Drosophila melanogaster: one gene and its partners. The gene in region 2 interacts genetically with the main gene of each other region. Each region holds a gene or a part of one and is shown on either strand. Other genes may lie near its edges. The genes, in order: stumps, htl and ush.

The links.
Region 1: of htl (region 2) and stumps, changing one suppresses a phenotype caused by changing the other (phenotypic suppression), as found in Drosophila melanogaster (one study listed by BioGRID).
Region 3: of htl (region 2) and ush, changing one enhances a phenotype caused by changing the other (phenotypic enhancement), as found in Drosophila melanogaster (one study listed by BioGRID).

Annotation. Positions count from the first base shown.
Region 1 is NT_033777.3:14,589,019-14,595,556, reverse strand, and holds the start of stumps (stumps), read right to left. Parts: upstream 3,938-6,538; 5' UTR 3,588-3,937; coding exon 3,548-3,587; intron 3,276-3,547; coding exon 3,037-3,275; intron 2,897-3,036; coding exon 2,715-2,896; intron 2,554-2,714; coding exon of another isoform or gene 2,551-2,553; coding exon 2,342-2,550; intron 1-2,341.
Region 2 is NT_033777.3:18,049,135-18,055,833, forward strand, and holds the start of htl (heartless), read right to left. Parts: upstream 3,851-6,699; 5' UTR 3,368-3,850; intron 233-3,367; exon of another isoform or gene 1-232. UniProt on the Drosophila melanogaster protein: May be required for patterning of muscle precursor cells. May be essential for generation of mesodermal and endodermal layers, invaginations of various types of cells and CNS formation.
Region 3 is NT_033779.5:474,424-481,066, reverse strand, and holds the start of ush (u-shaped), read right to left. Parts: upstream 4,848-6,643; 5' UTR 4,736-4,847; intron 4,622-4,735; exon of another isoform or gene 4,081-4,621; coding exon of another isoform or gene 2,863-4,080; exon of another isoform or gene 1,661-2,862; coding exon of another isoform or gene 1,592-1,660; exon of another isoform or gene 1,379-1,591; intron 1-1,378. Other genes in the region: cbt (cabut), read left to right, coding at 1,592-1,660, 2,863-4,080; MED15 (mediator complex subunit 15), read right to left, coding at 5,265-5,834, 5,889-6,031, 6,302-6,643. UniProt on the Drosophila melanogaster protein: Transcription regulator that modulates expression mediated by transcription factors of the GATA family such as pnr and srp. Represses transcription of proneural achaete-scute complex (AS-C), which is usually activated by pnr.

The DNA of each region.
Region 1 (6,538 bases), 3.5 Mb from region 2:
AGACGTTTTGGGGGCAGAACAAAGGGGTAAACAAGTGCATTTGTGCAGTGGAAAATCGGAAAAGAGCAGAATGCATTGCTTCTGTTCTTGCATTGCTGACCCCAAATCACCTGCTACATTCCGCAGCGACTGGTGCAATTAAAACAGTGTAAAATTGATAAATGGCACATTGCTGGCCACTTTTTGTTCCACTCCACCACCACGGCAGCCAGTTTTATTGACTCCGTAGCGCTTTTGATTGGAAAAGCCGAAGAGGAAACATGGCCAACGTAAACAGCCCAGCGCAGCTTTGATGTATTCACAGTTTGTGCTGCCAATTTCTCGGTATGGTCGATGGAGGGCCAAATTTGGCCAATCGTTTTGGTTGGCACGCGCCGTATGCAAAGCAGTTGGCCACCCAACTCCCCTTTTTTCTCTCGCTTCCGTGCCATTAACACGTTTGAAGCATACATATCTATAGGTTTAGGTATATGTACATATGTGTACCGGGGAGTCGGAGTCCGCCCATCAATTATGCCGTGTTCCGTTCCAGCCAGTTGGTTGTGCCTTATTGGATGTGCAGTTCTTCAATTTATGCTCCTCATGCGGCCACACCCACCGCCCACGTCAAGCGATTCGTTTGTTGACTCCACCATCCGCACATCCAATATCGCCCATGTTGCCCATCCGCCCCGTTGCCAGCAACATAATAACAAAATGCAATGGCCATTGTTATTGAAAGAGCGGAAATGCGTATAACTTATGCCAATCGAACTGGCAACTGCAGTGGGACACTCGCAAATATGGCAGAGATATTCGGTTCGGTTTGTTTTTACTTTGCCATAAATTTAGGTGTTAGAAATGAATTGTTCGTGGGTGTTGTGGGTTAATTGCCGATTGAGGCGAATTGCCTAGTTTCCTGCATATGGCGAAAGATTCGAATGGATTGCAAGTGACCATAGCGATAAGTGTGTCGAATATGGTGGGTGATCATTTTTAGAATAAGGCGCTGTGGGCAACCGTTATTATAATTGATAACAATAACAATAAGGGAAAGAATCTATTGTTTTTATAATAGTAAAAACTTTAATGGCACACTTCTAATAAATTGCGGCACTTCTAAAGCAGATCTACATGCTCTGAATTTCTATGTATGAAACACTCCTCAGTATCTCATCTACTACTTATTTCTCATCTCTTTTGAGACTCGAAAATCGCGCTGGATTTAAACGTCACACGAAGTGCCTTAAATCAACTTAAATCATCAGATGTCATGAAAGCGAAACCTTGAAAACGCTTATGATGAATACACAATGATCGTGCAAAGGAGTCCTGAGCGACTCATAAACCATAAACCTGTGACTTTTGCTGGACATACGAGTAAACCAGGAGGCCTTTCCATCTTGCATGCAACTGCCCACTTTAGGGGCATCCATCACACGGAGGACTGTCAATGTCAGGCCAGTCGCGAAATGTCAGTCAGCCAGGAAGGCGCGTTGCCAACAATCAGCTATATATACGCTCGATCGGCTATATGCGATCCCCTCATTACGCCACAAAATCGAAGGCAAACAGAAGCTCCACTCCACTGCCGGGGAAAAACAATGCCAAAACAAAGATTGGCGACGCTCTGGCGACAAAATACTATTACAATTATCACTTGCGTAAACATTGCAATGTTGTTAACGTGGTTTAAATGTGAGGGCGAACTGAAAGGGGCTGGGTAGTGGACCCAATTCCATGGCGCCTGCCAGGCGAAAAATGAAAAAACAAATTCCGAAGAGCTGGCAGTTGCGCTTAATATGCAAACGTGATGCAAAGCTGCGAGGTAAAGGTTGTTGGGCAGCCACTGGAGGAGTCAACAGGGGGGAAAACCCCAGAAGGGAGGACTTTTGGGGCATGAAAATGGAGTAGCAGGCAAAGGGGAGTGAACGCCTGACAGCCGCCAAAGTGCAAAAATGCGAACGCGAAACGAGGGCAGGGAATGCAATTTGCAACCACTTTGTCTTTGTCACTGCGTCGGCTGAACTTGTGGGGCATATTAAAATAACTAAAAGTATATTAGACTCGAGTAAATTAAATAACACAGCAATAAGCAGATATTTAAAAAATAGCTCTCAAAGAAAATTAAAAATTTGTGAGCCAAAATTTATTCCTTTAGGGACATAACAGCCATATCCTATAATCCATATACGTTTGCTGTCAACTATCGACTTTTCTATTATCTGAAAACTTTGCTAAACGATTTCCATTTACATGGATTACTTCTACTTATTGAGCCCAGATTAGCATAGGAATTCGCGATTGCCCCGTGGCATACTGAGCAGATGGGAAATGCAAGTGTCGTGGAACGTCAACTCACCTCTTCGTCGATGGGAACTGCCGCGGAATTTGTTTGGCGAGAGGAGCGGCGGTCGAGGCGCCATCATGCTGGGCACCTCATCCGGAGATCCCAGTCCCATTGCTCCAGAGTTCTGTTGATGTTGCTGTTGATGCTGATGTTGGGCCCAGTTTCCCAGGGAATGGCGACGAGTTCCGCCACTTGGCAGGGTGTGATGTCGATGCGATTTGCTACTGAGGATTGGTCGCAAAGATGGGGGGTGGGGGGAGAAAAGAAAGGGCGCACGATTAGCATGGGCGGAAAAGGGGGCGGTTCGAAACTGTCAACAGCTGCAATCGCATCCTGTCATCACCTCACCCTCCCCATTAAATGCTCGATTCTGGGGATTGCTCACCTTGTTGGCGATGTCAGCGGATTGAAGACCTCGTCGTGATCCCCAGCTACGGATGCACCTCCTCCTCCGGGACACTGGGAGCTGTGGGTCTCGTTGCAAGAATTCAGGCGTTCCCGGAACTCTGAGTGCGAATTTGCAGATCGCTGGCGGTACATGTTCATCGTCTGCAGTTCAATCGCGTGCTGAAATGCGCAAAACGGAAGAGGACGGCACATTAGAAGGGCTCACTCGACTCCACAGGAAGTGGCAGATCCAGCAGATAAATCAGAATCAGTATTCCGAAATCGGAGATCGGAATATGCTCTATTAAATCGCTACTCACTTGCGGATAGCCGGCGAGGGAATTGAAGCTGCCCCGCGGACTTCCTAATGCCATGGTAGCCGTGGTATCCAGATTGGCGGATGTGATCAGTCGCATCTGTTCCGGATTGGTCATCACCAGCGGCCGGGGGCTGCTGCCCTTCGAGTTGCGCCGCTTGAAGATCGAGAATCCCCGGCTGGAGGACTGCGAGTCCGGGGTGCGCGGCGACTTGGTTTCATTGCAAAAGTAATACGGGTTGTCTGGGGAGTTCAATTGCAATAGAATGAATGAGGAATGGAGTTAGTTTTCTGATTTGAACTTATCAAAGTTTGAGGATGTGCTTATAAAGTATAATAAATAACATTTATTTAATATCATATATGTACGTTTTTAATCTGTATGAATCTCTGTATCTTTGTATAATCTTTCGCTTTTGCTCATACTTTCTAACTTAAAACTTTGATATTTGTTACAATTCTTTTCGCATAAAGAAACTTATAAAGTCTTTAAGAAACTCTTTCACTCTTTTTACCTGAGAAGAAGGTGTTTGTGTTATCCACAGTGACAAACATCTTGAGATCCTTTATGCAGTGAATTTTTCCTTAGTTGATATGCGATTCGCAGAGTCTACCACAATTCAGAGCTCTGATTTGCGATGCATTTGCACTTTCACTGGCTGCGCATGCGCACGCGCCAAAAGTTGCGCACAGGGCGCGAATTCGAGAAACCGTAAACGGAAATCACAACGGGGAGTGCCACAAATGGCAACTTAACAAATTGTCAGTTTGAAAAAACGGGGCAAATAAATTCAAAATTCAAATTTAGGCGGCAATGCAAGTTCGTGATGGTTCGACTTAATATTTCACTTCAGTTCACTTGAGTTCGCGCAGTGCGTGCGTCTGCATTGACATCCCGAAACGGAATAAATTCTAAAACTTCAACGAGAACAAAACACTCCGCGCCGTCTGCATTTTCCTCTGCCACCGCCGATGTCTCTGTCGACGTCTCTGCCGACGCAGAGAATCCCTCCTCGTGTTTTGGTTTTTATTTACCATACGCGCACTTCTTCATCCATTCCCATTCTCAGCGTGCACTGATAAAAATAAATATACCGAAAAATCCCACCTTCTCATATTAATATTTTCTTTCGAATTCTCTAAGCGAAACTGTTAGGCATAATTTTCTTAATAAATTCAGATACAAAAAATTACTTGAAATAAGTACCACAAGATTTTGAACTGGATACATTAATTAAATAAAATAATAATATTTAATCGGTAAATTTGATTTCTTTATGTCTGTTTCTGTGTCTTCACTAATAAATTTGTACATCATTTTGAGAGATCAATCAATTCTCATCTCTTATTTTCTCACAGTGCAGCGACATCGGCAGCAGCATAAAAACATTGCATCTCTCCCTCGCACTCTCACCCCATCTCGCTCCCGCCCGCGCACGCACACACGCATACGGGATCAGTGTTTAAATATGGTTGCCATATTGCCATCACCCACTCGGTACTCCCCCACCCCTAGAAACCGATCGGCGATCAGGAAAACTCACTTTTCCTCGACTACAACGACTTTGTTGTTGTACCTGCGCATGTTTTTCTTTTGCGTGCGCTTTTCGCATGATCAAATTATCATCGCCAGCGCGCTCCGAGTCCATGATTTCCATGATATCCATGATTCCCTGTCCTCTGTCCCCTGTCCACTGTCCCTGTCTCCTGTCCCTTTCCCATTTTCCATCCGTGAGCGTACGTTTTGTCTTGGTCTCGTCGTGCATATTTGATGAGTTCCGATAGCAGAAATAGAAGACCCATCTAGCATATAAGCCAACTTGATGTGGCGCACATAGCATATACCATCATCATATATATTGTAGCATCTGAGGTGAGCCCCCCGGTTTAGTATTCCCCATGTTCTATCAGTGTCAAAGTTTGAGTTTGTGCGCCGAGTGTTGTCTGTGGTTGGGTTGGTCTTCAATTCGATGATGTTCACTGTCAGGAAACATTTATGAGACGTTTTTCGGGAGGGACCATGAGAACTCACCTTCGCAGAGCGGTGGGAGAATTAATCTTCCAAAATATCATGGGAAAAAATACAAAAAAAAAAAATTATACAAAGAGTTTTAGGATGTTTGATGATACAGATGCCAGAAATTCATCAAAAATATGATGATTACTTACGCTGTATATTAATATATTAGCATAAAGTAAACTCATATTTGGAGCATTTCTTCAATTGTCCTGAAGATACGCAATATTTGCCTTTCGACTTTATGGCAAATATGAAAATTGTCATCAATGTTGGGCCGAAAATAGAAGGCCATAATAGAAGCTATGGCCAGGCGACATATTCCAGCCACATTAGGGGAAACTCGAGAGCATCAAAGGCAGAAAAAAAAGAACGCGCATCGGAAAAGGCACATTAAAAATTGCAGCCAGGGGAGAGCAACAATTGTGCTAAGGGAACACATTTTCACATTTTTCCCCAGTGCAACTAGGAAAAAAAAAACTGAAACTGAAGCAACAACTGAAGTGGCAAAATGCTAGAGAGTCCATGTGGTCTGTCCGTGGAATTCCTAAGTGGACTGGGTCTAAAATCGGGCCTGCCATCGATACTGGGCCAACAACCAAATAACCCCTACCACACAGATGCCCGGCATATTGGGACCTATGGAAAAATCGTAAAACTCGGTACCCGAGCAGAAATTGCACATTTCGTAGTCCATAAAGGCGAGAGTCTGCCATCGAGGGTTGATCTTTGAGTGGCGGCTCTCTGCGGAGCAAGTGACTCTGCAACGTTACACTGGCAGAAATAACTTTAATGTTATATAATATAACACTTAGCATGTTATATCCTGAAAAGTTAAGATATTAACAAATGTAATGAGTTTCTTAAACATTTTAAATATTTCTCCCAGTGCAAACGTATTTGTTTGGCTGCTGCTGGATGCAAATGATCTTGAACCACTAGGGTACTTGCACTTGCAGCCGATTGCCTTGCTCGAGTACTTGGGCAAATGCATTTGCTGCACATAAATGTCAAATGCTTGTCTTCGCCAGCACGCTCCACGTGTTCCGCGGACGAGGAGGGTCTGCCAGGGGGATCTGGACTCAACTGGCGAGTCGTAAATCTGTAGACGCTCTACTGCAACGCGGCTTTGTCTAGTTAGTCACAGAGTGGAGCATCCCAACCCGGCTTTGTGCTGAGTTTCCATTTCCCTTGCCACGGGGATTGGGCGCCATTCGCTGCACTTTCGCTGATTGTTCATCGGTGTTGACGGGTTAATCACTACTACGCACCGCCTAGAGTTCAATAAATTCCCCGTGTTTTTGTTGTTCTCTGGGGTCAGTTATGGAAAAGTTCAATAGGGTGTGAATATATATTGTACATCTACCTACAAAGATGCATTTTGGTCTTACCAACAGAGGTTTGGATTATTAAAGATATTACTCTACCCTTTTGGTTTTCATTTAATAATACCCACTTCATGCACTACTTTAAACCCCTGTAAGTTTCC
Region 2 (6,699 bases):
TCAACTTGTTGTCAGTTTACTTAACGATGGGATTCTATATATACACATACACTGCGCCCTAAAATGTGATTCTATTTTTCGCACAACTCACTCACGTTTTTCCGATTTTCTAGAAGGGATTGCGCAGATGTGTCTGCCGACTTTTGCGCTTTTCAAATTCGAAATTTTGTGAATTTTTACGGAGCCAAGCGAAAAACTGTTCCAAATTGGTCCGCGTAGTCCGATGTACTGAATATGCCCAATGCCAATTCCGATTCCAATTCTAGTGGTGATCGCGACTATTCCGATTCTCTACCTCTCTTAAATCTCCCACACTCTCTCTCTCTCGCTATCTCTCTTTAACTCCCCGGATCCGATCGCCCTTCTCTCTTTCACCATCTCTCTCCCACACACAATGTCCTACTCAATGCGCCGGCGTCGGAAAAGGCGACTCAATTTAGTGGGCCCTCGAGTCGCTTCCACTTTTGCCGTTATATTTCCAATGCCTAATACCCTGTAATGTAAGGGTGAAATGGGTTATGCACGGGTTTGATCAAATAAGCAATCGAAGTGATGATATGATCATAAGAGTAAAGCGTTGAAAGCTTCGTGCATCGATATTAAGATCCTTTTTAAACAAATCTTTTTTTGTGAAATTATTCAAGTACTAAGTATAATATATAGATGATATACATTTGTTACCTAATGGCATGATTGGTATATATTGGTATATCATTATAAAGGACATTTTTTTTTTTTCGAGTAAAGTCGAGTTGCCAAATTGCCAGGTATGCTATAGTCAATAAATTGACAAGCTCGCTTTTTCATTCACATTGCGGTTCTGTTCTGTTTGGATGGTCGTTGCCTTTAGCGTCCCGCATCTTTTCGCTTTCAACGGCAGCCTTAATTTTCCACACATGCCAGCCCCGTCTGGCTTTGTATCTCAGTATCGGCGGTATCTCTCAGTTTGCACTGGGTATTACTCTCATCTTTAATTAAAACAGACACAGTTTCTCTCCGCGTTCTGGGTCTGATCTTTCCAGTCCGCATTCAACATTCAGCCCACATCTGGCGGACAAAAAAAAATTAAAGAAATTAAAAGCAACAAAAATAACGGCCGGCGGAGAAGACTACTGTGTTCAGTTGTCTCTGTTCTCCCGCCCCCGTCGCCACGCCCACAGTCAGAGTCAGAGCAGAGACAAGGGCAAATATTGTTTCGGCTTGCATTTGTTGCTCTATTGTTGACTGCAACATGTGGGCACATCATCAGCATCGAACATACACGAATGTACATATACGTATGTCTACCTAAGATCGTGCCACATGTGTTGCACAGACATTGTCGTCGATTCTCGAGGGGAAGTAGCGACTCCAGCGTCTAAATGATGGGGTTATCCGAAATGTTGACTTCCAGGAAGGCATCCGCCAAATCGGAAACTGCCAAAAATTGTATATATGTTTGGTATTCTATCTCCACCCTCCGACCTTCACCTCCATCGATAATGAGCGCGCAATTTTAGTATATGTATGTATTTCCTGTGCCGTCCAAAATCGCCCGATTTATAAACAAACACGTTCCGGAAAGTATTTGCAAAGTATACAAACATTGCACGGTATATGTACATTTCCCATCGAATTGAAATCGCCGGTCACTTGGCGCATCCATTTCAATCGCACGGGTTGACCCGCAATTGACGCACTTGGCGGTTGCCCCGCTGCCGCTCAGTGTATCCGATACCAAGTCGAGACCGGCACGAGTCTGTTATTTCGCACGGTTCGTCGGCAGGTTCCACCAGCCATCAGCCACCCAATGCCAATCCCATCCAGCCATCCATCCATCCATCCATCCCCACCCGTTCATCTAGTATATACCATTCAGTACGTGACGGCGAGAAGGTTGCATCCCATGGGGTAAACGAAAAGAAGCAGATGGAGCGAAAGGTCGATTGTGGCAAGTCGACTTTATCAAAAACGCGAAGCTACGTTAAATTATCACAAAGTATATGAGTAGTGAACTATTGATTCGATTTACATTTCAGAAATATAAAGCACGCAGCGATTTATATAAAGAACGTTCAACAGATTTAGTTGAAATAAATATGTGCTATTCTTAAATTGTTGCAAGCTTTACTTATATATTTGTAAATTTGCCATTTAGAGCTTTAAAATTTTATTAGTACTCACAAACATTTAGACAACAAAATCCATTATAAAAGTGCTGTAGCATTGATAAGCTTAAGCTATAATATATTATAATACCAAAAAATAACATTATTACTTTATTGTTGACATAAATCTATTTCTAAATCGAAATCTTTATTTGGTAAACACTGATTTTATGATAAACTCTCATGAAAACATTTAATATTATATAGCAAGCATATATTCTCGTGACATTTGTACTTTAACATCATAAAGATCAAAGGATCATACCGAAAGTCTGCGTGGATCCCACCTGAGATGATATGGGAACAATACCGGGAACTGGCCGCACAATTAGCTAAACAAACCTAACCTTAATTATCATTCATAAATAAATTGCAGAGAAGGGAGGCGAAAAGTAAGAAGCGTCTTCGGTTGTCGGCCAGCAAATTGAGTGATTGCCAAAGGCAACAAAACAGAAGCCGAATCACCTAGAAGATGGCATCGTAAAGCTAACCGACCGACAAAACAGATACCCGATAAATATATATATATACATATATATACACACAGATAGCTATATCTTTAGCTATATACTCACTCAGATATAGAGCAAGTCGGACAAAGAGCAGACAAGTTGAAATGTTTGTTTACGCGGCTAGAAAATATTGCATGTTCCTATACCGTCTACATTCTAGAATCTAGACTCTAGATGATACGATATATGCTATATGCTGTTGGTTAATAAACAAAATCCCATTCTAAGGGAGCGTTGGAATATAACAGAATTATGAGTTTGAAATATTTTCCCGAGCTCTGGGGCATCGGTTGGCTTGTAAAAGCAAATAAATAAATATAAATTAGAATGGGAACCCTGTGGAAAAGTGCTTTCAATTTGAGCATGTACCATAGCAGAACCGAATGGAATAAATAAAAAATAAAAAAAACAGATACTATGGGGAGCCCACAACTGTCCATATTCACTGTATTATTATGGGGTAGCCAGAGAATAGATAATTGAACGATTGACTACACACACACACAGCGGGATAAACGACACAAATTGCTTTGGAACCGAACCACTGCACATTTTACACTTTTTGGCCTTTGGGTTAAAAAGTCAAATTGCTGTGCGCGGTCAATCAAAAAGTGGATCAAACAAATGATTTGCGCAACTACGCAAAAAAAACCAAAAACAAAATAAACTAAATTAAACGATGCACGGTGTGTATTTTTAAAGACTTACCTCACAAAGTGCGTTGCTCCACGAACAAAAAAAAAAAAATGCCAAAAAGCTTCTTGCCAAATATCCACCAAAGTGTCTCTGCGTTGGAATTTCTCCTTGCCTTCGTCTAAATTGTAAGTCTTTCACTAAAAACACAATTGGGAAAGTTCACAGAATTCGAGAATGTTTCCACTTAAAATTCCAGAAATGTTTTAGTACGCATTTATATGGCACTTAGGCACTTAAACAGAACCAGAAACCGTTGCACACTTGACTCTGTTTTGTTTCTTTCCATCCACAAAATGTGTGCGTTTTCACCAAGAGGCATTACTAATAATTATTAGTATAATTATATTATATGGCGTTATTACGCGTTCAATCGATCGATCGTTCGCTCTAATTTTCGACGATTTTTCACCGATTTTCCAACGATTTTCCAACCGATTTTCCAACGATTTTCCTCCGATTTCGCCTACTGTAACGGCACGCAGTCCGATCGCAACTGAGTCAAAAAAAAGCAAGCGAACCGAACAGAACCGAGCCAGCTCTGCGAAATAAATCTCTTCAATTAAATGAGGGAACAAATGAAACGAATTCACATTTCCCCCATCAACTTCAACATGCTGGAGAACACATCTCTGCAATGTATTTTTGCGGCAGGCGCGTAAACAAATACAGAAAACACACAAAATTGAACGGAACGCCAGCCACACATTGTATAATCCGCAGCCAAAGAGAGGAAGGGTCGAAAAAGCGAGGGGTTGGGTATGCGGTATATGTATGTATGGTACTATATGGTATAGGGGCCCCTATACCCTATATATGGGGGACCCACACACACACACACACAAGTGTGTAGCTGAGTGGCGGCCTTCCCTTGGAAAGTGAAATGTAATTGAGTGCACAGACCGCACTCGTTCTAAAATTCGTTCAATTGAGTCGAATGGAATATCTCAAAGATATTCTAACGCACAATATGTTGCATAGTTTCGAGCGCAGCGAGGAAATTCATGAATTTCATTATGAGGGTGCAAAGAAGATGGGTAGTTGTCAAAAAGATTCCTTATATTCAGATCAATTATTTATGTAGTTATAATTGGTTTGATGGATCATGCTTTATTAAAAAGAATAGCTAACTTATCTTAGTCAGAATAGATCAGTCACTTGAATTTAATTATTATTATTTTTTAAAAAGATTTATGGCCTATGAGGGCCTAAGATTCTACTGACAAATTCTTTGCGCATTTCTTTGCGCTTCGTTTGAGGCGGAAAATGCGGAATGAGATTCATTAGCCAACACAATAGCTCGCTAAGTAAGTTAGCAGTTATTAATTATGAGCTACTTATAGCCAATGTCAAATGGCCAACAGACACATAAGAACCAGTAGCCAAGTGGCGATGGAAGAAAGCCCCTCTAATGAATGACACTCGTGGTGAAAAGGCCATCAAAGCACACACGCTGTGCGCCAAAGACAATGGCATCGTTTAGCGTTTGTCTCTATGGAGACACCAAAAATAACGAAAAGGGTTAGCCAAACAATGGACAATGACGCAGGGGGGATTTTGGCCGAAAATCGAAAACAATTAACGATTATTGACCATCAATTGTGGCCGACGGGACCCGTTCAGTGCCAAATGGCGTTACGCCTGACTGATTAATTGATGCTCCACGGCGGAATTGGGAGGGAGGATCCCCATGAGTGGTTAGCATAGTTTCAACAGTTAACAACCTCGTAAAGCCGCAGAGAGACCGGGGAAAGCACGGGTTAAAGACGGCCACCGATCAGTGTGTATGGTCATAATACTTAAATTTTATGCACTCCTGGGCAAGCCTCCTGGCTCCAACCTGGCTCCAAACCGGGCTCCTCTTGGCTACCCAAAAGTGCTTCTCCTCGAGGCTGCCGATCGCAGCTTCAGCTTCCGTATGGCTTTTCAATTTGGCCAGAACGAAACGCAAGTTGTTAGCGTTTCGAGCATAGAAATAAATATTGGGAAATTGGCTCAAAGTCTGGTTGGTCGAGCCTTTGGCCATTTGGCTCTGGGAATCTGCGAATGGGAAATGAAAAATCGGGAACGGTAACAGGCTTTTGGAGACACGATCTTCGAGTTGGGCGACACGATCTGCAGCCATCTCGCAGATCGCAGCTCGTCGAGATCTCGTGCAGAGCAGCCAAACAGCATAAAGTTAATTGCTAATATGATTAATTGCACATTAACATGAATTTTTATAGCCAATTATATGCGAAATATGCCAATGAGAAACGCTTTCGACCAGCGGATTAAACAACCAAAAAATAAGTTAACTGCTAGACTTATTCAGTTGCAATAGATAAACAGATGGGCTATTGAAGCTGTCAATGAAAATAAGGAAGAGCAATATATTAACTTTTGCTAGGTGACTTGGGAAATCAATTAAATTTTGGGATTAGTAGATTAAGATTAAGAAATTGAGTTGAATGTATTTATTGTATCATATGGGCTCAAATAAGTTAGGCCTGCAAAACATTGATTCATCATTGCCTAGAACCAAAAACCCGCTTAAAACCAGACCAATTCGATGGCTCCATTCGTTGGCGATGTCGATGATAATTTATGCATCAACTGTGCGTGGCAATTTGGCATCTTCGCAATCCAAACCGAGTGGGTTGCTGCTGGCAGGCGAAATTATGCGGGTGTGTTTGCATTTGCCACAAGAGCAGGCAAATAGCAAAATAAATGAAAATGCAATAAGCCTCGAGACAGGCGGAAAGCAAAAATCAAAAATGCGAGAAAAAACAAAACAAAAGCCCGAAATCGAATTTCCAATCACTCAAAAACTATTGGAGATTCGAATTTGAATTATTGGCTCCACCTTGCCAGCACCGCGCCATTTCCGGTCTTAAATCTTTGAGCGCGTGAGCTAATCATAACTTACAATGTGGTCCGGCAATTTGACAGGCTGTTGGCCTTTTTTTTTCTTCTTTGGTTTAGACCCAGAGTTGGCCAGTTGGCCTGCCACAGAGATGGGTGTTCGGGTATCCAAGCGGAGGATCATGGCTCATGGATCATGTGGGGCTGGAAATTGTTGCCATCGCCGAGCGCTTTGGGGCTCGGCAAGCTGTGCGAGCTGTCAATGAACTTGTATGCACTTGATTGATTTATATTGTGCTGGCTGGTTGATGTATCTCTGGATCTATGGTAAATCAGCTTAAGCAGACCGGCGATCGTTGATATCTTGCTTTTAACACGACGCTCGAAACGCTGGAAACGAAAGGCCAGCAGAAATCTCGAGTAGAGTCGGCGAATCTAATGAAAGGTGTATTAATTATATTAGATATCCCCAGCAACACGATCTTCCCTGTTCTACTGGCTAT
Region 3 (6,643 bases), on a different chromosome or scaffold from region 2:
AAAATAAAACTTAAACTTTTCAGAGATCTGCATCTAATCTAGCTGCTCCCATGCTACCCCTGAATACCCTACACGGCCTGAACAGTCGCCCCACAAGTCTGGTGTGGGGTATGGCGTGCTAGTTATTCGTTGTTGTTGCGCAAGAGAGCGCCAATAACCACAGCTGTTTCTGCCGCTCGCTCTTTGGTGTGTGTGCTCTGTGTACGAGCCCCTTTTTGCTTTGAAAACTGTTACAGGCGAAACGCGAGCATTGCCAGGTAGAATTTACCCGTGTCCTAGGAGGGTTTTCAAACAAAATAAATGTAATCAATTGACGACTTAATTGAGTTACATGCATTCACTGGTGGTGAATAAGAGGATTTTGAAATGCCTGCTTTTCGTGACTCATCTTTGTTATCTCCCAGTTTCTTGGGCCTGGCAATGCTCCCCGTCAACTGTTGAGCTCCCATACTCTCCTGCTTTCGCACTATGCCTTTCGTTTATTAATGAAATCCGTGTCTGCTTAAAGTCAGACTTCCAAAGTTAATGCAAATATATGCGGCCAGGTCTTAGATTTCAGCTTGAGGGGCGTCTGCCAGGTTTCGAGCCAGTTTTAAAGTATTTTTTCAGCCGATTATTCACAGACTTCCGTGGCAACAACTACGTCAGCTACTCAGACACGGCTTTGGGGTGTGTCTGTGAGTGTGTCGGTTGGTGTGCGCTGTGCACGCGGCTGGGGCATGCACAGCCCATGAATAGACAGCCGATGGAGCCCCACACCCTCCCCAGCTCCTCCTCTACTGACCCGTTCTCTATAGCACCAAACACAAGACCCCGCAGTGAACAGCTGATGACGTCCATGCGTTGATTACGTGCTCTGCGGGCCTCTCTCCTACTGGCTGTGTGTCTGTGTCCTGCACAGAAAGAAATCGCTTCGGTGATTTTTTGGGTCTTCTCGGAAAAGATGGCAACATTTAAAATAGCCATACACTTTTAGAGAGTTTACTAAAAACGATTTGGGTTCACCTGAATCTCTTTTAACTTATTGCCAACCAACATTACAGTCTAAAATTGAGTTAACAGAGATGTCATTCTTTACGGGCTATTTTGTCCGGTGCACGTGGGTTGCTGAGAGGTGAGTGAGCAGGAGACCTGACCTTTTTCTTTTTTGCGCCCGAGAGAGAGGAGCCGAGGAGGTGCTGCCCACGTTGCTGGCTGATGTTCGTCCGGGTTACATTGCACTGGTTGCTCCACTGCCGATGACGATGGCCCGCTCACACACACTTGCCCGTTTCCAAGTGATTACGTCGTCGGCGGCTCCACTCACTCACACTTGCACAGCCTCTGCCGGCAGCGGCGTCGGCGGCGGCAGCTCTGCTGGGAGCTGAATGGCTTTGCCTTTTTCATTCGTCTCTTGAATTCCGAACGCAACGGTTCGCCTTCGCTCCAAAACGGCAAGCGGCACTTGAAAGCGCCAGTGCAAAGTTAGCTGAAGTGCAAAAATCTACACAAACTGAGATTAAACCAAGTGATTAGCCCCGGAACAAAACAAACAAACAAACACAGACTCTTCAATAAAAAAAAGAGAGTGCAACTGAAATTTGAAAGTGCAATGGACATGGATACCTTGCTACCTTCACCACCCGCAACGCCCCCACTAAGGGAAAACAAGTTGGAAATCGTAAGTGACCTACAAAGTGGATATATACAGTGTACGCTAGTGTAATTAGTGCTTATTGAGTGGGGATAGTGCATTCAAGGCAGCGGAAAATCAAACGGAATCGTACTTAGCTCGCTCTCGCTCCCACTTGCCGCGTTTCTAAAAACAAAGTGCCTCGTCCCGCTCGCACTCGCACACAGCCATGCGATCACGCAGCCAACACGCTTTCACGTGAACACCGCATGCACAGCGAGTGATGTGTGAGTGCGAGCGAGAGGCCGCAGCTGAACATTGGACTTGGCACCACTAGGAAAAAACAACAGAAAAGCAAAAGAGAGAAGGTGAGTTGCCAATTGGCAACTGTAGGCGAGCGGTGGAGTGTGAGAGGAAAGAGAGGGCCTAGCCAAAAGCTAGGCAAACAGGCCAAGCCCCAACCCATAAAACCATGTCACATTTCTGGCTCGTTTTTTATCTGGCCAAGAAAGAAACAAACAAACACTGTCGCACATTAGAGCGCAACGTGCCGAGCCCATAAAAAGATTTCGACGTCTTCGCACGAGTCATAATACACCCCTCGCATTCGCCTTCCCCATGAAATCACCCACCTGAGGCACGTCATAATAATACTGGTGGTGTGGCTGCATTTTCCTTGCATGCTTTTAGGCGCAATTTTTAAATGGTTCTAGAATATGCGCCGAAAACGCAACAGTTGCTCATGTTTTCATCCTTAAAAATTAAGTAGTGAAATTTGAAAAGTCCATATTAAGAACAGTTTTTAAAATTTTAAGACATTTTTTGTTTCTGTCAGGAGCACATCAATTTAAAGACTTTTATGTGGTCATCAATACAGTATTCACCTTTAACATTTACATACGTCTATAATTTAAAGCACAGCTGGCAGCAACAGTTAATGAGTAATATTCTGTCACCCCAAACGGCCTTTAAAAGAGTTCAAAAACCGCCAAAAACAAAGTTCCCTTGGCCTTTCGAAGGAGCATTGAACCTGGGGTTGGGCGGGGTATTGCAGGGTGTGTGAAGGTTAACGGTGAACGGCCTTGTCAGCCGCCGGCGTAATTAGCGAATTGCGAGGAAAAGTTATTGTGGGTCAATGCTGGTCAGCGAAAAGTGAATGGGACTGTGAATGTGAATGCACTCCTCAGAACATAAACTCGACAATGTTAACGAACTCTGACTAACCCTGAACTTGTTCTTTCCTTTTCCAGGTCGCCAAGGACGAACAACAGGTGAACGAGAATCTGCTAAAGGCAAAGCTCAAGCTGGTGGCCCAAAAGAGTCAGAAAAATGGAGGGATTATTACACCAAATCCATCGGACACGGAAGACGAGGCTCCCGAAATAGCGGTTCCCAACAAGAAACCCCGTTTGGAACAACCTGCTATGAGCATGACACCGCCGCCGGATCAAAAGCTGGACGATGATCAGAAAGCGGAAAGGGTTAGCGTCATCATGCGGGTCAACAGTTCTGGCGCTGTCTCTTCTAGTAGCCAAGACGAGAACTCATCTAGTTCCACCTCCTGCTGTAGTTCCTCTTCCAACACAAACACAAGTACAAGTTCAGTACCACCCACTGTGGAGGACGACTATCCAGAGGCCAATGTGTGGCGCAATCTCAAGTTCAAAATGAACAGAAAGCGTGCTGCAGAAGTGGCACTACCCCCAGTACAAACACCCGAGACACCAGTTGCGAAGCTTGTAACGCCACCTGCTCCAGCGGAATGCATCAAGGAGGAGGAAATAAAACCTATTCTGACACCGATATATGTTAGCCCAGTAGCTTCGTCTGCCAGCCAACTTATCCTGCTCAGCACAGTGGCCGCCCAACAGAGCCCCACACCCGTACCCAAAACGCCAACAATGTCCGAGGAGAAACTAACAACCAGAATTACGGCCGCCCAGGCGGCGGCCACCAGAAGTCGCATCTACGAGTGCAGTTTTCCCGATTGCGGCAAGAATTACTTCAAAAGCAGTCATCTGAAGGCCCACCAGAGGGTTCACACCGGCGAGCGACCCTTTATCTGCAAGTGGGAGAACTGTGACAAACGATTCTCCCGTTCCGATGAGTTGTCCCGACACAAACGGACCCACACCGGTGAAAAGAAATTCCAGTGCAGCGTCTGCCAGAAGAAATTCATGAGAAGCGATCACCTGTCGAAGCACGTCAAACGGCACAACAAGGACAAGGCGAACGGAGTGAATCGACATGTCTCCCTGGCCAACAACAACACATCAGCTTCGGTAGCGGCTTCCCTCTGCGATGCCTCGCTCCATTTGCGAGCGATAGCACCGGCGGGCTCCAGCGCTAGTTCCTCGCCCATCAGTTCCGCCAGCTTGCAAGTCTACAGCGCCCAAGATCTGCTGAGGCTACAGCAGCAGGCCAGCAGTTTCACCTTCGGCGGAACCCTGCTTCAAGTGCAGCGATGAGAAGAGCAATGCGAGCAGCATCAGAACCAATCTCAGCCCCACAGTATCGCCAGCTAAACAGAGATGAATTCCCACCAAATTTCAAAACAAATTAACATCTGAGTCAAATTCGAAATGCCTTCTCGCTCTCATGTAGCTGGTGTAGACTTAAGCTTAGTTAGGAGCTAGATCTTGTCACCGTTTTGTGCATATATCAACTTCAAATTCAATACGTAATACCCAAATCGGATAGATGCCACTTCTTTCCAGGAGCACACAGCACACTTCTTATCTAAGCGATCTTCTTCAGATTAATATTCTGAATATCCCTAGTGTTTGTACATACTATAAAGAGACGCATTCGGCGTCCAACATCTGTGATATTTAAGTTTTCTTAACTCTTTTCTATTGTACCATAGTTGTCAGTGTAATTCTCTTAAGCTAAAACACACACAATTGTATTTATTGCTAAATGTGAAAAAAAGAAAATGAAAACAAATAGAATAATGGATCATCGCACGATTCCAATCTCAACAAATGAAAATATACATATTTTCCAAAGAAAACTAAAGTTATTCTATGAATTGGGAGGGAAGCGTAATTGGGCAGAAGTCTATTGCGGTGACTTAATTTTTTTTTAGAATGACAAGCCCTATTCCAAATTGTTTATGCTTACCTTTTTAAAAATCTCATCCGACTGAAACAATTTGCAAAGTATGTAGCCCCATTTTGGTATTGAACTAAGTCTTGAGTGTGGAATGTTTTTTGCTTGATGAGTGGATGAGTGTGTTGTGTATATAGAAGGATGTTTCAATGCGGTGCAGCTCAATATTCTTTGAAATAATTGGTTTTATTTTATTTTAGCTATAAAAGCCATTTGTCTTATATGTTAAAATGTATTTACCCAAAACAGAGGGGCATTTTGGGAATCTAAAATGAAATTAAAATTTTCAATATCCATTGATTTAAAATTAAACAAGATATAAACTTACTAAACTTTCCACACTTTTTGCCCAGCGTAAATAGAAAAAATGTTTATAGTTGATTAGGCCGGATAGTTAGGTAAAACTTCCAACAAATATAAAAATATATCTAGAACAAAACAGAAATTAGAAAGATTTTAAAATAAATAGTAATTTTTTTGCAGCGTACGCACTTTTAGCTTAAGATTTAATGTTATAGTTGAATTTAACCAAATAGTTGGGCTAAACTCCCAGCAAAGTGGAAAGTTCACAGACTGCTCTGGGTTTCGATTGCGGGGAACACGCCTGTCGCACGGCCATCTCCCAGGTGTCCAACAAATGTGAGAGCGAGTAGTTCTTGGGCAACTTCGAGATGCGGGCAATGAGAGCTTGTTGCACCGTCTGCAGGAAGGGGGTGGCTGAATACTCCTGTTCCGCCAAGGAGCAGTCCGGAGCCTGCCACGGATATTCCTCCGGCACACTCACACTTACGGGCGGAACACTAGGCAACCTTTTGTCATCCAGGCAACAAATCAAGCGAATGGCCTTGTTGTTGATCTGTGACGTGGTGTCCAATTTCACTTTAAACTTGGTATCGAGCCTAGCAATTTCCCCTTGAAGCACATGTGGCACTTCCTGCTCAAAAGACGTGGACTTTTCTTCCACCCGAGGTCGCTTTGCGGGCACTGGAGCTGTTATATCCGTACCAAAGAGCAGCTCCAAAGTGGGTCGGAATGTGCGATACAATGTGTGATTTGCTACAGGACTTTGCAGCGTTGTATTTATAACCTCCAGCAATGGATTTGAGGATTTCTAGGTATAACGAAGAATATAATAAATTGGCCCGTTGGATGTAGATATACTTACACCAAACTGCTGGCCGGAATAGGAGATGAGATCCATCTTCTCAAGCGCTTTTTCACACTTAAGTAGAGTCTCCAGCGGCACGCGCTGTGTAGGATTGCAGAGAATCTCCAACAACTTGCTCATCTTTGTCATCTTCTCCACATCTATTAAAGAAGATATAATATTAGTTTTACGATAACATATACTTCGAGAATATAACTACTAGGAAATATATAAACCCGAGTAAGTTTGCATTAAACTTTTGTTTTTGGTTAGTTAGTCCTTGCATTTGGCCTCGCAAAAACGATTATATAATTCTTAAATTATATTATTTGACGCGGTTTATAGCATTTACAGCATTTCAGTAATCAGCAAACGATTTAAAAATGCAATAGCTGCGAAAAAAACGAAACGTGAGGGTATTATCTACTTACTGGTTCCGTCGTTACTGATCTTGGCAAGCATCCGCTTCAGTGGCTCAATGTACTTGGTCAGCTGCTTGTATTTCTCGCGGTATAATGCCTCCTCCTGGGGATTAAATGGACTGTTACCAGTAACCTGGCCAGGAGTGTTGATCGAGGCACTTGGAGACTGCTGCCGAATATTGCGCTGCGAATTCTGCATCTGCATCATCTGCGGACTGGACTGGGGAACCAGTGCCGGACTAGGAATCATATTGGGCGTGGGCATCTGCGGAGTCGGAGGTTGCTGTGTTGGCGTCTGATTGCCCACCACCAGCTGTTGCTGCTGTTGTTGCATTTGCTGAAGCTGCGCCT